Lepisosteus oculatus: one gene and its partner. The protein of the gene in region 1 binds, or shares a complex with, the protein of each later gene. Links are inferred from orthologs where the notes say so. Each region holds a gene or a part of one and is shown on either strand. Other genes may lie near its edges.

Region 1 (7,855 bases):
GGCCTCCATCCCGGCGTTCGGCCGCCTGGTGGCGTCCTCCGGCTCCTTCTCCGAGGCGTCCTCCGAGGACTCGGTGCTGGGGGTCGGCCCGCCCCTGGACGCCAGGCGGGGGCTCAGCCTCGACTCGGACGCGGGCCTGAGCAACGAGGACCTGCAGAGCGAGCGCAGCGAGTCCCCCGGGGTCCCCAACTCCGAGTCCCTGCTGGGGCTGGACCTGGACTTGGGGCCGTCCATCCTGGAGGACGTGCTGAGGATCATGGACCAGTACAAGGCGCAGGACGGGGACTACGAGCTGTGACACCTCACCCTGGCTGCCGATTCCTTTGTCATGGACTTGATGATGAGCTACCTGCGTTACCAATAGTGTAGAAAAAACCTGAAATGCCACCGTAACCCCAGAGGTTTGAGAGGAGCAGGACACAACTAGTGACACAGATTTGATATAACTGAGGGGGGCTTCGAGGCAGATGAGGACACAATTTAAATATGCTGCCATATTCTTGTGCTCGCCAATACACGTCTGCTCCGCAGCTCTGAGAAAACCTCATGGTGGCTTTTTAACGGAACCCAGCCCCACTGTGACGCTCGGATATACTCCTCAATGTTACAAAAACAACTCCTGTGGTGTCAGCCAGCCCTGTGCGTCCGCACTCGCAAAAGCACAAGTGACACCGCGCTGCTGCTCCGTTCTGTGCTGGTGGTGCACCGCGCACACCTGATCACACCACACCACCTTCCGAGCTCCCTGCTTCTCGGCTTCAGCCAGTGAGAGGACGTGGGGCAGGCAGCACATTGAGCCCTGAGAAAGACTCTGCCCTGCTTCAGGTGCTGCCCCTGCTCACGAAATGCAACCTTACTTGTTTCTCCACAGCCAGGGGCTTGAGCGATGAAGGACAGAGAGACACAGAGACTGCGCCTGTGTGGATGAAATTACTGAAAAGACGGAAGGTGGTGGAATCAGGTGATCTTAAACACTTGTCATCTGCTAGGAATCTAAAAGAGATCCTTAAGGCGTGAGCAAGAAGTTCTCAAATGATATTTTCCTTTTCTACAAAACTAACAAAGACGTGAAATGAAAACTGAGCAATGCTACTGAGCTGTATCTAGACCGAAACTTGGAATTATTTTGTGAGTTTATTTTCATGCACATTGGTTTATTCGAATTTCCACCTTCCTTTTCTTTCAGCCTGAAAATGGCAGCAGTCTTTTTACATGAAATACAACCGATTTACTGATGTGAGAATCACGTGTACAAAAAACACCATCTCGTGGGCCTGTGTTTAAAATGTGTGTTAGTCTGTTACTCCTTGACCAGGAAACTGTGACTCCAGAGGCATGGAAAGATGACTCGCACTGCACAGCAGTTTTAATCCATTTCGGGGTGTAAAATCAAATATTGGACACATCCGTTTCAAAGTGTCAATTTATCTGTTGAGTTTCAGACAGATTAAGGTCACAATGAAACATTCTGAGTTTCTCTGTTGTTGGATTGAGTACTACAGCTTTTGCTTTGTAAAACTGGGATGTGGCTCATACTGCGATGCATTGGGAGTCTTTATTCCACCTCTGAAATATATCAAAATGTTCAATCACCTGACCATAACTGGACGATGAATCAACACAGGAAGATGGTGATTATTCTACGCACTCAGAAATCTTGCATGGACATATATACTGAAATCACTATTCAAAATAATTTATAAGGACATTTAGTGCATTTATCTCTTTAGAGGATAAGATGGGAAGTACTGTTTACAAATTCTAAAAGCTGGCATAAATATATATATTTATTTTATTGGAAGACTTTCGATAGTTTTAACAAACCGTTCACCGGTCCAGTTCAACAGTTCAACTGTGGTTGCCGAGCAGTACTACACTTGGCTCGTACGGCCATCTAGTGGAAGGAGAGGGTAGTACACCTGGTAATTGGTCGGTACCAGAAGCGGCCTGGAGAAGCGCAGCTCTCTTGCTTTTCTGAAGGTCACGAAATCGACACATTTAAAACCTGAAACGACCGAATAATCCTAAAAGCTATGCCTTAAAGCGAAGCCGGTTCATTTTCTTCATTTTTTTCTTGGCAGGACTGTGTGTTGAGACTGAGTTTTGCTACTGGGATGTGGTGACAGATGGAAAGAAATGATTTCTGTTGTAATTCTGCATTTTTTTAAATCTCCGTTAATGTTCACAATCTGTTTTGATTTCTGAATGTTTTAAGACGTGTTTCAGGCCCTGCTTGAGTTTAATACATTTTCCATCACTATTCTGGGGATTCTAATAATTGCACAGATCTAAGCACTGGGGGAGAGGTTTGATGTGCTCAGCTCAGTGGGTAATAGCATGATGAAGATGCTGATGATGACGAAGATGAGGTGTGTAAGAGTTCAGCCGGAATGCAGACCAGACGACTGCTTGGAGGAATGTGACTGGATACTGTTGCCTTTCAATGGATTGCTGGGAACTAAAATGAAACTGTCGTCTGGGAAGTAGGTATCTGCTGTGCTGTGGACTGTGCAAGGTAGATGAAGGAGAGGAGAAAGTCCAAATAAATGCGTGGAAAAAAGAAAGAGACAATCAAGGAAAAATGTTTTTTTGAAACGATGATTTTCTGTTCTGGATGGAACATTATTTCGCAGTTTGTGTTACGTTCTGATTGACATGAAGAGGAACACCATGCAAGTGACTGTTGCAGTTATTTATTCTGAAATCTTCAGCTCAAGGCAAGCGGGGCGTCTAAAGTCAGTAACATGTCGCAGCGAACATTTCTCTAGTTTCAGAAGTTGCCCTTCCTCAGCGTGGTGTGACATCTGTCTCTGTAGTACAAAATGACAACCTTTTTTAAAACAAAAAATGTTTCTATATGTATTTAGCCTCGGTATTGAGGTCAATAAATATGAATGTTAAAGCAGACGTCACTCCAAATTTGTATGTTTTTCTTGCTGTTTTTTTTTTTTGGCTTCCACATCTCTTTACCTATGTTCCCTCTTCATCTTTTGAATCAGTGAGATGATCAGATACTGGCTGTGACACAAACCACGTCTCACATTATGAGAAGATACCGCAGCTCTGGTTCAGAAGCACCAACTGTGCAAACACTAGTGAACCATGTGATATCAACAGGAGAAGACTCCTAAGCACCTATGCACCTAACGCCACACCAAGCACAAAAGAGAGCACACACAAACACATCAGGATCTGGTGCAGCTTGGCCTTGTGCATAACCCAGGGTGCAGTACATGCACTTGCCCCCTGTTTTGTCTCCTTATTCAAGCCAGGCCCTCTCGCTATTCCTGGCTCAGCACTGGGAGATGGACACCCAGAAGCCCGCCGTCCAGCGGGTCCAGGAGAGATCGCGGTGTCCTGCCCGTCTGAGTCCGGGGCTGGGAGCGCCTGGCCTCCTTACCTTCTGTACAGCTCCTCCAGCCCTGTTATTGAGCAGATCCACCTCGAGGGTCAAGGCCTGCTCCTACACTCCTCTGGTGCCTGAAATGTGGTTCAGGCTGCCCCTCCCTCCACTCTGCCGTCTCTGTGAAGAACTGGCCCTTTAAACTAAAACAATAGACAGGGTTGATTGCTTTAGGAATGAAACAGACTTCAACTAAAAAAAAATGAACCAAAGAGACGTTTTAGTGTGGCTTGACAGTGACTGGTTTAATAATCTTTTCATATCACTCTGCAACTCACAGCTGGCAGCCCACTGAAGCTCAGCAGGTGTGAGCCTGGTCAGTACCTGGATGGGAGACTCCTGGGAAAAACTAAGGTTGCTGCTGGAAGAGGTGTTAGTGGGGCCAGCAGGGGGCGCTCACCCTGTGGTCTGTGTGGGTCCTAATGTCCCAGTACAGTGACGGGGACACTATACTGTAAAAAGGCGCTGTCCTTCGGATGAGACGTAAAACCGAGGTCCTGACTCTGTGGTCATTAAAAACCCCAGGGCATTACTCGAAAAGAATAGGGGTGTTACCCCGGTGTCCTGGCCAAATTTCCCTCTGGACTTTACCACTCATGGCCTCCTAATAATCCCCATCTCTGAACTGGCTTCATCACTCTCTTCTCCTCCCACTGAGAGCTGGTGTGTGGGGAGAGGACTGGTGCACTATGGCTGCTGTCACATCATCCAGGTGGGGCTGCACACTGGTGGGGGTGGAGGGGATCCCCATTACCTGTAAAGCACTTTGTGTGGAGTGTCCAGAAAAGCACTATTTAAGTGTAAGCAATTATTTTATTTTTTTTCTAAAGAAGAGCTGCAAGCCGTGTTTCAGAAACATGTTGGTGTTAGTAAGCTTTGCAGGGTGTTCCCATACGTTCTCCAAATAAAAAAATGCAGTAATCATTTACACAAAAGTCATATTCCTAATTAAAACCTATAGGCGGATAATTCATAAAGTTTGATTATAAATCTACAAACATCAATAAATTTGTTATTATGATTTTCTAACAAGGTCTATGTTCCTTGTTTTTGTTTTACTTCAAAGTTGATTTGCTCAGTAACTGGATTTTTATAGACGGCTGGAAATTTTTCAGTCCGTGCCAACAGGGAAAGCTAGACTTCTCTGGCCTCGACTATTCAGGTCTAATATTAGCAACAAGACACAACTTTTTATATTGGTATTGATTAGTCAGGTCTAGATTTCGGGGCGCACTAACCAGGGGGCGGGGAAGAAGTGTGATTGACATCGAGATCACCCATTTAGCAACTCCTATTGCGTCTCCTCCAAAGACTAAGTGACCAATCGTGGGCGCGCTAGGAGGGATTACGTCCATCGAGGGGGATAGGTTGGGCAGTGACAGTGGAATCACACGTGAATAAACAGAAAAGCAAGAGCGGAGTTATCAACGTGCTTTTAATTTCTTTAGTATTATCTTTTGTTTATCTCTAGTATTACGATAGGCTTGTCGAGCCTACAACAGCAAGAAGAAAATCGCCCGTCGCCGGACGCAAGCCGTAACAATGAAGTGTGTACTTCTGGAGTCTCTCGCCGCAGCTGAAGGGTCGGGTAACTTGAGAGTCGGGGCGCTAAGTTTTCATCTTCTTGTTTTTGCAGGCTGAATATTGATGGCTTGCTGGTCTACTTCCCCTATGACTATATCTACCCGGAGCAGTACTCCTACATGCTGGAGCTGAAGAGAACCCTCGACGCCAAGGTAAGCTCTCCTTCTGTACCTGCAGCGCGGATGCAAGCGTCGCACCCCGGTCTTTCTCGTCTCTCCGCTGTCTGGTCGCGTCCGGCTGCTTCAGCTTTTGCGTGTTGGGTTGGAGGAGGCGGTGAGGGTGTTGGGAGATCGGCGCTCTGTAATCCCCGCGTCCATCAATCTGGCTCACTCGAACGGTATTTAAAAGTTATTTTCATAAACCGAAACGGACCCGATGGAGTCACAGTCTTTAAAGAAAAAGCAGCAACCGGAATACCTCGCGTCTGTACGTGGAATACACGGCTTCTGTGGGCTTTAGTTAGGATCCGCTGCTCTCTGGCGTGTGAATGTCGAGACTGCCCTTGCAGTGCAGCTGGGATCGGTTTGCTTTGGCGGCCAGGACGGGGGACAGCTGTGTTCATGTTCGTGTTTGACCTCGTGTCTCTGTAGGGCCACGGGGTGCTGGAGATGCCCTCGGGCACCGGCAAGACCATCTCCCTGCTGTCGCTGATCGTCGCCTACCAGCAGGTGAGTGTCTCCCCTCTCCTGGGAGGGCTGTCCTGCTGGGGCCCGATCCCTGGCGGATTGGCTCTTGTGTGCCGCTTGTGTTAACTTTGCTGGTTTGTGGTCGACACGCCTGTGTGTGTGATCCCTCTTCCTGCTCCTCAGACCTATCCCCTGGAGGTCTCCAAGCTGATCTACTGCTCCCGCACTGTGCCTGAGATCGAGAAGGTGAGTCGGAGTGGATTCAGATTTTTTGGAAACGGCCGCCGGGTTTTAAGCTGCGCTTTTCCTCACCCTGTGCCCGGCTCTCCCCCCGTGTCTCAGGTGGTCGAGGAGCTGAGGAAGCTGATGGAGTTCTACGCCAAGGAGACGGGCAGACAGAGCAACTTCCTGGCCTTGGCCCTGTCTTCCCGCAAAAACCTCTGTGTGCACCCTGAGGTCAGGACGCCTGGCCCCTGGCCCCTGCCCCCTGCCGCCTGCCCCCCCTGCCCCCTGCCCGTCCCGCTCCCCTGACTCTCCTCCTCCCTGTCCCGCCCAGGTGAGCTCGCTGCGATTCGGGAAGGAGGTGGATGGGAAGTGCCACAGCCTGACGGCCTCGTACATCCGCGCCCAGCGCCACGGCAACCCCTCCCTGCCTTCCTGCCGCTTCTACGAGGTGAGCGGGCTGGGGGGGGTGCTCAGGCTCAGGTGGGGAGAAGTAGAGAACAGTACTGAGCTGGGGGGGGGGTTATTTTCAACGGGTTTGTTAACAGGAGGAAGTCGAAGATCTCCTGCTCTCACGGGGACGCGGGGCAGAACTACGCGTCTGGGCTACGGCAGCTGGCCTGTCCTGTTCACCCTGCAGGAGTCCAGGGAAGGCGTTTGACGCAGGTGGTGGTTTGTTTTAATGCCTGAAGGCCGCACGCGCCTTGTGGTGGCGACAAATGCCCAAGGAGAGCGAAGCAGCCTCCACAGTTTCTCCACAGTTGGCCACAGAGCCGATTTGTGCAGCAGTTGACAATATCGCAGCAAAGGAACAAGTAAGAGGTTTATTCCATGCTGAAAAAAAGAAGAAGAGAAGAAAGAAAACACAACATTTCGGCCGTGGAGCCTTCTTCAAGTGTGAGCAGCTGACCATGAAGGAAGAGGAAAAGAAAAACTCCAAGTTCTCGGCGTCCATGGCCCAGTGATCGTCCCCGTTCAAGATCTGGGTTTGTGGGACATCAATCATTTAATGTTCCACAAGCCCAGGTTTCCACACACTTAGTGATACACAGAGTTCAGCCATGAGAAAGACAATAACTACTCGCAGCTGCCAGCATTTTGTTATATAGTGCTTTTTTTTTGCATGTAGCGTCTGGATCTGGGCTCTCAGGTGAATAGGAGTGAAAATGATGTAAAATGAGTGCCCAAGCTAAACCTGAAAGTTCAGTACTTATTGCTGCCATGGACTGCTAAAGAATTGCTCAGCCAAATTCTGTGTGGAGATGGTGGTGTACTCTTTAGTTTGATGTTTCATGTCTCAAGGAGAAGACTGAAGGAGGACATTGCACTTGGATGGTGGAGGGCAGGATCCCAGCCTCACAGGGCTGGCTTGGCACTCTCTGGAAGTTCATCCCTGCTGGTGCACGGGGAGATCCGGATCGAAATACGGACAGATATCTGTCCCACTGGGATAGGGATATAGACAGTGTTGGAGGATTCTCCATGCTTGCATTCACCCACTGACCCTAGGAAGCAAAGAGTGCTAGCTGCCAAAGTTCTGAATACCGCTGCATATTGCTGTCGGACAATAACTGTGATTCTGGTAGGGTCAATTCCGGACCTGGAGTGCTATCTGCATGGATTTTGTATGTTCTCCCTGTGTGCGTTTGGGTTTCCTTCAGGCACTCCAGCTTCCTCCCACAGTCCAAAGACATGCTGGATTCATTGGATTCTAGGAACTCTGGCTTTCACCCTTCACCCCCTATTTCCATAAAGTAATGTCCCTGTTCCCAGATCACCCCCATGCTGCTCTCCTGTCCCTGCACTCTGACGGTCCAGGAAGTGACTGAGACTGAAAAGGGGACAGTCGGGTTGAATTAGAACGCAAGAGGGGACTAACTTCCTGCCTCCCTTCTGTGCGTCCTCAGGAGTTTGATGCCCTTGGCCGACAGGTGCCCATTCCCGCGGGCATCTATAACCTGGATGACCTGAAGGCCTTCGGGCGCAGGAAGGGCTGGTGCCCCTACTACCTGGCCCGATA
Region 2 (7,965 bases), on another chromosome or scaffold:
GATACAGCCCCTACTTTTCAGCAAAATGTCCCTTTCTCCTGTTTCTGATACCTCCATAGCAAATTCTATAGCCTGTTGAGCAATCATTATGTCTCACTGCAGAGACAAACATTGTCTCCATTATTTTTAATGGTACACACTTAAAGCAAAAGACAATGTTTTTAAACTACATCTATTTTCACCTGTCTCAGCAGAAAATCTAAAAAACAAATCAACTGAATGAGGTTTTCTTTATTTGTTAAACATATTTTACCAAAGGAATGAATACGTTCTGCTCAGTGTCTTGTTCTTCTTGTTCTAGCATCAAGTAAAAACTACTGAATATAAACATTTCCATTAAAGTTGTACAAATGCAGATTTTCGGATTGTTCCGATTCCTCTTGTTGGCAATTCAGAGATACCTAAGTGTACAAACCATGACACCCTGGCTGCTCTAGAGGCTGCCTACTGACCTGTAAAAGACTTGGATGGGGTGTTGAGAAGGTTTTTCTCAAAAATAATAAAAACATAATCAGAAAAATAACAGTTTACACAACAAACTTGTAAAAACTAAGTTGTCAGGAGAAGTACATTGTCCTGATTTCTGCCTCTCTGACAAGGAACACCAGTTTTAGCTGCCTCCTTTTATAAAAATGTCAGAGAATGTGGCTTTGTCTGAACAACTGAAGATTTGCCTCGTCGCTCTCCTGTCTCATTCAATACTGGAAGCTTCTCTTGGTCTGAATGTCGTCCAGTATCTGCTGCAGTTCCTCCTCTTCAAATCGGCCCTCCAGACTGCCATTGTGGAGAAACAGAGGAAGAGACGGTAAGAAATCTCTACTCATATTAGAGCTACAGAATAAATCTTCGTGTCTGCTTATCCCACTAGTGTTTTATCCAACCCAGTGCAATGTCTAAAAATCAAACCATAACTAGCCATTTTTAGGAAAGTAGACCCACTCCATAGCAGAGCCTGTTATGTCATCTTCTAGTACTGTTTCCTCAAATCCAATGCCTCTATCTCTACTGAACAATGAACTTTAGGTATTAGTGTTCAATTATGAAGCCAGCAGGTCTTAAGGTCACCCTTAACCAAGTTTATTTAATTTTTGTGGAACAAAAATACATTTTTTACATGAGCCTACTAAAGCACGAGCTCCCTAACTGTGCATATGACCACAATAGTTTCTAAGTCTTTGGAAACTGATTATTTGAATGTCACTCTCAATGAAATACTGGATTATGACTCTCCAAAAACTGGGATCTGTCTAAAGAGAGCAAGAGAGTGCTTAAAACGAACAGCTGTTCTTCCATAATGTATTTCTTTCCCAATAATCCCAATGTAATACTTATGCTGGGTTGTAAAGGAGTCGATTCTATTGCTGTCTTCACAGACTGTGCCTTAGAACCTCTACCGAGCATCGACCTCCAAGAGCCGGGTGTTCAGACAACGGGTCTTGGGAGGAGAAATACGGGGCGGCGCGGCCAGCAGACTCAAACGTGCGACGAGAAGCGGCCGTGGCAGAACACCGACCTTGGAATAAGGGCCTTGGCTTCTTCCGCTGCTTCGGGGCACAGGTTGGCCAGGCTGGCCAGCTCGAACTTGTGGAGCTTCTTCTGCAACAGCAGGCTGCAGCGAGGGAGGAAACAGGACACGATCAGACCACAGCAGCACGTGCACGTGAAGACGGCCCACTGCTAACCCGAGCACTTCCTGGTTCCTCTCCAGAACAGACATGCTTTAGTGTTGTGCATTTGATAAATAAACTTTGATTTGATTCCAATTTGAAAGGCAAAAACGTGACTCTCTAGGGCGGAAAGCCGATCCAGCCAGGGGTGGCCGCGGCCTGACCTGCGCACGCTGGCGATAGTCTCCCTGTTCTTGAAGCGGCTGAAGCGGGCCGTGTAGTTGAGCGTCTTCATGAAGACCTCGGACAGCTCCTGCTCGTCCTCCGCGCTCTCGTTCTGCTGCTTGCGGTGCTCCAGCAGCATGTGCACCTCCGAGTTCAGCAGCGTCTCGGCGTTCTCGAACTCTGCGGGGGGGGAGAGGAGGTGGGCGTGCGTTAGGGACACCAGCAGCAACACTTAAAAAGACGCCGGGTGCGGAGCGGCCCGATCCGTTTCGGGTTTTATCTGGCCCACACTCATATTCCTATATCTGACTGCACAGTAAACACACATGCTGGCAAAAGGAGCCAGGGTCTCTTCTGGGTTTCTTTCCAGCTGAGCTCTGAATCACTAATTGGATAATTTTCCTGATCTCACCTCAGGGACAATTTAACGGCTTATAAAACTCGCAGGACTGTGGCTTTCCAAGACAAGGGTTACAGACCCTTACTGCAGGCCAACTTGTTTTTAGTAAATACTATTTTTTTTTGTCAGTAAGCCTAACTCCGCTTGATCGCTTTTCACTTCTGGTCAGCAAGAATTGCAGCCCTCAGGGGCCAGAATCCATTAGATTTCTTAGTGCTCTTCGTATCCTTAATGTCTTAAATAGGTCTAATTAAGCTTAGTATGATTAGTTCAAGTTTGGTCACTATGCGGAGGCGGAGGACAGCAGCTGTATGCGCACCACCGCTACAGAAGACCGTGTTATTTTATAGTATTCTCTATACCAGCATCAGTGAGGCCATTAAAACTGTTCAGGTCAGAAGATCCAATTTAATATTCTGCGCGGACTATCCCTAACCCTAAAAAATGTTAAGCATAAAAAGTTTTTTTAACTTTAAGACCCATTTCGTGCTTTTCATTTCCCCAGCAGTTCGGTGTTTACACCTCCAAAGAGCACACGAATCCCCGTGGCGGCGGCTGGTACCTTTAGGGAAGAGCAGTTGCGAGGCGTCCTCCTCCACATCTCCGACCTGCGGGGGTCCAGTGCCTCCTCCTGCCGCCATCGTCCGAATCAAGACCCGGGGCAGCCTGAGTAGGCCCCAGCGACCACTTACAAACGGGTATCTGTAAACCAGAAATTATCTAAACAAATTGGCAGCGAAATTCAGAAAGGTTGCGTACGGAGATATGCTCAGAATGCAGACAACTGTAGCGCTGTAATTATCCCGGTACACTCAACAGCACGCATCGCCATGCCTGTCATGAACACCTAAACACAAAACAAAAGTATGATGGGTGAACTCATTGGGGCTTCACAAGACAGCGCCCCTGTCGGTTGGAGGTCTCACCAAGAGGCGGCATGGGCTGCAAAAGGTAATATTCCAATTCAAAGAGCTTTATTGGCATATCCGATGAATTACGGTGTTGCCAAGGCAGATGCAATTAATGCAACGCTACATACATTTATATAATACAGACATCACATAAAACATTAATGTGAGACAGTATCACCCTGTTTTGTTGTTATTGCTGCACGTTTTTGCGGGGAGGGGGTATTCTGTTGCTCATGACTCTCTTGTTGTGAACTGTAATTTTTAATCTATTCTTCGCCCCCTGGATAGTACAAGAAGTATGTGTTTTTTTATCGTCCATTGGCTGAATGTAAATCAGCGGTCAGTCTTTTTTTTAAATTCAAATTTGAAAAGAGCTTTATTGGCTTGACCGATGACTTACAATGCTGCCAAAGCACAGAAATAATTACCCAACATTTACAGTACTCACATAAATGTCCAATAATAACATATTTCATACATTACTAGAATTTAAAAACGAGGGGGAAAATATTACTGCGTTGGCCGGGAATCGAACCCGGGTCAACTGCTTGGAAGGCAGCTATGCTCACCACTATACCACCAACGCTTGTTATCAGATGGTGGTAACTATAGGTTAAAACAGTGCTGGCGCGGCCTTGGCGCTGTATGTCCAGGCCTACAGCGACACCCAGCTGCAACGCTCTCGGAAGCGATACTGGGCCCGAGCGGAGGGAAACCGTTTCGCTTTGATCGGAGCAAAAATACTGAAACCCTCGTCATATGCGGATCCGGATCTCGCTGTGATTTTGAGTTTTCCTTGGTGAATTGTGGTTTGGGTTCTCACTAGGTGACACGAGAGTTTCTTTTCTGAAAAGGGGCAGAGGAGCGTTTCAGCTTTCCCAAAGCCTCAGGGGCTCAAGAAAAATAGCAGCCGCTTTTGTGTTGAGGGACCGAGCCCATAGCTCGTCTGTAAGACGGGATGGATTTGTTTGGAGACCTTCCCGAACCCACACAAACTACAGGTAAAGGATATCTGTCATTTGTATTTTATTTTTAAAACATACTTTGTATTTTAGGCTGTGTAGGAGACAGGGCACTTTGGTAGTAACTGGATTTATATAAGTAAAACTAATAAGCTTTTAAAATTCATAGTACCACCCTTTTCGTCGTTGATGAAAGTATTTTGATATGGAAAGAGTTGAAGATAATTCAAAATGCTGTTTTCACTACTAAAACCGCTCTAAAGGACGACAGGCCTGAAAGTGAAACTCGTGAGCGCAAATCCCCGACCTGGCGTGAAGGCTGTAACCGTAGATCTGAGCATGTTCCTCGGCTAAAGAAACCAGTGATCTGCAGTATGTGAATTTGACGAAGATAAACTTTATTTTATGACTTATGCGAGGTTTGACACTTCATGACTATAGTATATGTAGTTTTTATGGTTTAAGAAGTAAAGAATGAAATAGTGTATGCAACGTTGTGATTTGGTAGCAAAAGCACATCGACCGAATTCCCTGTCAAGACTGATTCTTTGTGTTAGATCGTTTACTTTGTACTTTATAAAGGGGATTAGGTAATTGTGAATTTGGTATTTAAAAACGGTACAACGGACGCCGAAACATTCAGCACATTCAGCTGCATTTTCACGGATAAAGAGCATTTGGACTGCCTAACGTCGATTTAAACGATTGGACTAGGAGAATTAATTGGAAGTGGTGAAACCAGTACATGTATTACTAGAAAAACATGTATCTTTATGTAGTTTTAAAGGCCATTGTTTGAAAGCAGTTGAGCTCAGTGATGGGAAATTCTGCAGACAAACTGTGGTATAAGGTCATAGATGTGTGGAAATATACATAATAGTCTGCACAATTACAATATATATAAATATGATGCCTGGTACATGATCAGAATCCCTGATTTGTTGGGTCCCTTCAATAAAAATCCCTCCTTTTTATTCTTTTAGCAGCAGACACAGGTTCTTCCAAAGACTCCAAGACTGAGGAAAAGCCCAAGACAGAGAAGAGGAAACTAGACACTGAAAGCAACGGCACAGAGCAACAGCTGGAGGAAAAGAAAGTTTGTAAAGGTTTTCAGCCATGTCCACACCCCTGTTCCTCACCTGGGGCTGGGGGGTGGGGGGTCTGGTGCTCTGGCTGCCTTCCTTGATTGCACACAGCATAGTCTTCGTTATAGACGTTAGCAGCAAAGTGTTGATGGCCAGCCACTTCTACTGTACCTTCCCTCCACAAAACAAGTTCTGGTGTTCTTGGAATATAGTGCATTAACCTTTCTTCCACGGATCGGAGGTACAGAACTTTAATAGCACACAATAATTTCGATTTTCCTAACACAGAATGTAGTTTTATTATGATGTTTTCATCCGTCTTTTCATAGAAGGATGACACTTTAGCACAGTGGTTAGCATGCAGCTTCACAGCTCTGGGGCCCTGGGTTCAGTTACTGGGGTGCTATCTGCGTGGAGTTTGTATGTTCTCTCCAGTTTCTGGTTTCCTCCCACGGTCCAAAGACATGCTAGTAGGTTAATTGTCTCCTGGGAAAGTCGGCACTGGTGTGAGTGTGTGTGCGTCTGTGTCTGAGTGTGCCCTGCGATGGACTGGTGTCCTGTCCAGGGCGTAACCTACTGTCCGCCTGCTTCTTGCCTTCTTTAAAACTCTAAACCTTTTTTTAAGACATACTCTTAGAACCAAGTAATAACAGTCAGGGATTGATAGGGATATAGATTGAACACTAGGACGATGTGTTTTGGAATGTCCCTGCTTGTTGTTTACTCTGATTAATTTCCACCTTTGAATTAATGATATCTAGTAAAGCATTTTAAAATATGAATGGAGAGATTATAAGAAAAAAGCTATTAGATCCACAGTGATAAACTATTTTTTTAGCATAGTTTAACAGAATACGATATAGGATAGAGTGATGTATATCTGTTCTAAAGCTTGTGACAGCAAAGACTTTGGTGCAAATATCAGCTCCCAGGATCAATACAACCCAAAGCTACTGTGGGCTGGAGGGTTTAGACAGACAAGATGAGCAGACAGTGCAAAAGAGTGAAGTGCAAACAACAAACAACAAGCTCGTACCATTGAGTTGTGAAGAAGGGGTAATGTTATGGGGAGTGTGGATGTAAATCTGTGATCTGTCTTTTTTTACAGTGGCCACAAGGGGATTTAGGATAACAGCAGGAGTTTGACAGCCAGCGTGCCTTTGTGTGTGTGCTGTCTGTTCCAGGAATCCCCAGACTGAAGGGCTATGTGGCGGCACGGAAGGGAGAGAGGGAGGAGATGCAGGACGCCCACGTTATTCTGCCCGACTTTTCGTCTCGGGTGTCTTCGCTGCCGTCCCAAATGTGAGTGACCTTCCCAGCAGCTCACTTGATCCCACTGCCACACGGCTGACTTTAGGACATCTCGCAGACTTTGGATGCTTTGAATCATGAAAGGTTTTCAGGAGTATTTTGGGCTGAAAACTTCATTTTACTTCAGGAGTTCAGGCACATCGGTCCCTCCTCTTAATGGCTTCATCCAATTCAGGGTAGTGGGGGAGCTGGAGCCTATCCTGGCAAGGAACGGGCACATAAGGCAGGGTACACCCTGGACAGATCACCAGTTCATCACAGGGCACACACATACACACACCAGGGACAGTTTTTCCAGTAGCCAGTTAACTTACCAGAATGTTTTTGGACTTTGGGAGGAAGCCGGAGGAAACCCATACAAGCACGAGAAGAACACACAAACTCCACAGAGGTAGCACGTTGGTTCTGGGATTGACCCCAGGATTCCAGCGCTGCCACTGTTCCACCATATCACCCTAAGCTCAGACACATCAAAAATCGAAACAAGGCAAAGGGCAAAACCTTGCCTTTGGTTTTGCTCTAAATGTGCATCACATGGGGAAAAAAGGAGCTGCCAGGTTAGCATAGTGCCCAGGGAGTGCTAAATCTCAATTCATTGGGATGTTTTTGGCGAATCTTTTTTTGAGGTTTTCTTCCGTTTATCCTAGATCACACTTGGCATACTTTGCAGTCTTCGATGGGCATGGTGGAAGCCGGGCATCTAGGTACGCTGCCCAAAATCTCCATCTCAACCTAGCCCTCAAGTTCCCCAAAGGTATGCAGCCCTCTTTCTTTTAGTCTGTTACTACTCATATTCACTTGCCATTTTACACCAGTTTTTACACCCCAAAGTGAAACTCGGCCTAAGTAAGACCTGCAGGACTTCAGAGAGAATGACAGGGTGGGACTCGTATTGCAACGGCAAAATATTAGAGAATAGTGTTGGGGTTTCCCAAAGTTGTATACAGCCCAAACAAATGTTTGAACACTTGACAAAATGCACACAAGAGTAATACACTGCAGGATCAGCTGGCAGCTGTGATGTATGTACTTGCATAGTCTCAGGTCTGAAGCAGTGGGACCAGATCTCATGGTCTCGTGCTTTGGAGTAAAAATCTCACACAGTCATGGCCGGCATGTCCTTGGTGAACAAAGCAGTCGACTAGGTTGACAGATTTGAGGAGAAAATAATTAAGCTTCAAAAAATGTAAAGATTTTACAAATCCAAATAAAATAACCAATCTCATTATTTCAATTGATGTGTGTATAGAGAGGGAATATGTATTATAAATTACCAGGAATGTCATGAAATTAATTATAAATATGATAAATATTCTTGCAAAATCATAAGAAATGAATTTTGCACCTTGCTCTTCGTCACTGTGCTCTGCAAGGGCACACCATTACTGCTCTTTGCAGTGTTATTGCCACTCATGAGATATGTGAGTTAGAATCTTTGACATTTCTAAACCCAATGTTTAAATG

What was found.
Region 2: ercc2 (region 1) and polr2d share a complex: the UniProt entries of both Homo sapiens proteins name them as parts of the TBP-based Pol II pre-initiation complex. The link is inferred for Lepisosteus oculatus from reciprocal best matches to the Homo sapiens genes ERCC2 and POLR2D.

The regions. Positions count from the first base shown.
Region 1 is NC_090698.1:5,271,231-5,279,085, reverse strand, and holds the start of ercc2 (general transcription and DNA repair factor IIH helicase subunit XPD), read left to right. Parts: upstream 1-4,742; 5' UTR 4,743-4,945; coding exon 4,946-4,950; intron 4,951-5,039; coding exon 5,040-5,139; intron 5,140-5,577; coding exon 5,578-5,655; intron 5,656-5,796; coding exon 5,797-5,859; intron 5,860-5,955; coding exon 5,956-6,069; intron 6,070-6,169; coding exon 6,170-6,286; intron 6,287-7,742; coding exon 7,743-7,855. Other genes in the region: cdc42 effector protein 2, read left to right, coding at 1-298. UniProt on the Homo sapiens protein: ATP-dependent 5'-3' DNA helicase. Component of the general transcription and DNA repair factor IIH (TFIIH) core complex, not absolutely essential for minimal transcription in vitro.
Region 2 is NC_090708.1:19,212,745-19,220,709, reverse strand, and holds polr2d (DNA-directed RNA polymerase II subunit RPB4), read right to left. Parts: upstream 3,108-7,965; 5' UTR 2,874-3,107; coding exon 2,795-2,873; intron 2,013-2,794; coding exon 1,832-2,012; intron 1,610-1,831; coding exon 1,514-1,609; intron 775-1,513; coding exon 696-774; 3' UTR 217-695; downstream 1-216. Other genes in the region: ilkap (integrin-linked kinase-associated serine/threonine phosphatase 2C), read left to right, coding at 4,102-4,144, 5,089-5,211, 6,375-6,492, 7,149-7,255. UniProt on the Homo sapiens protein: Core component of RNA polymerase II (Pol II), a DNA-dependent RNA polymerase which synthesizes mRNA precursors and many functional non-coding RNAs using the four ribonucleoside triphosphates as substrates.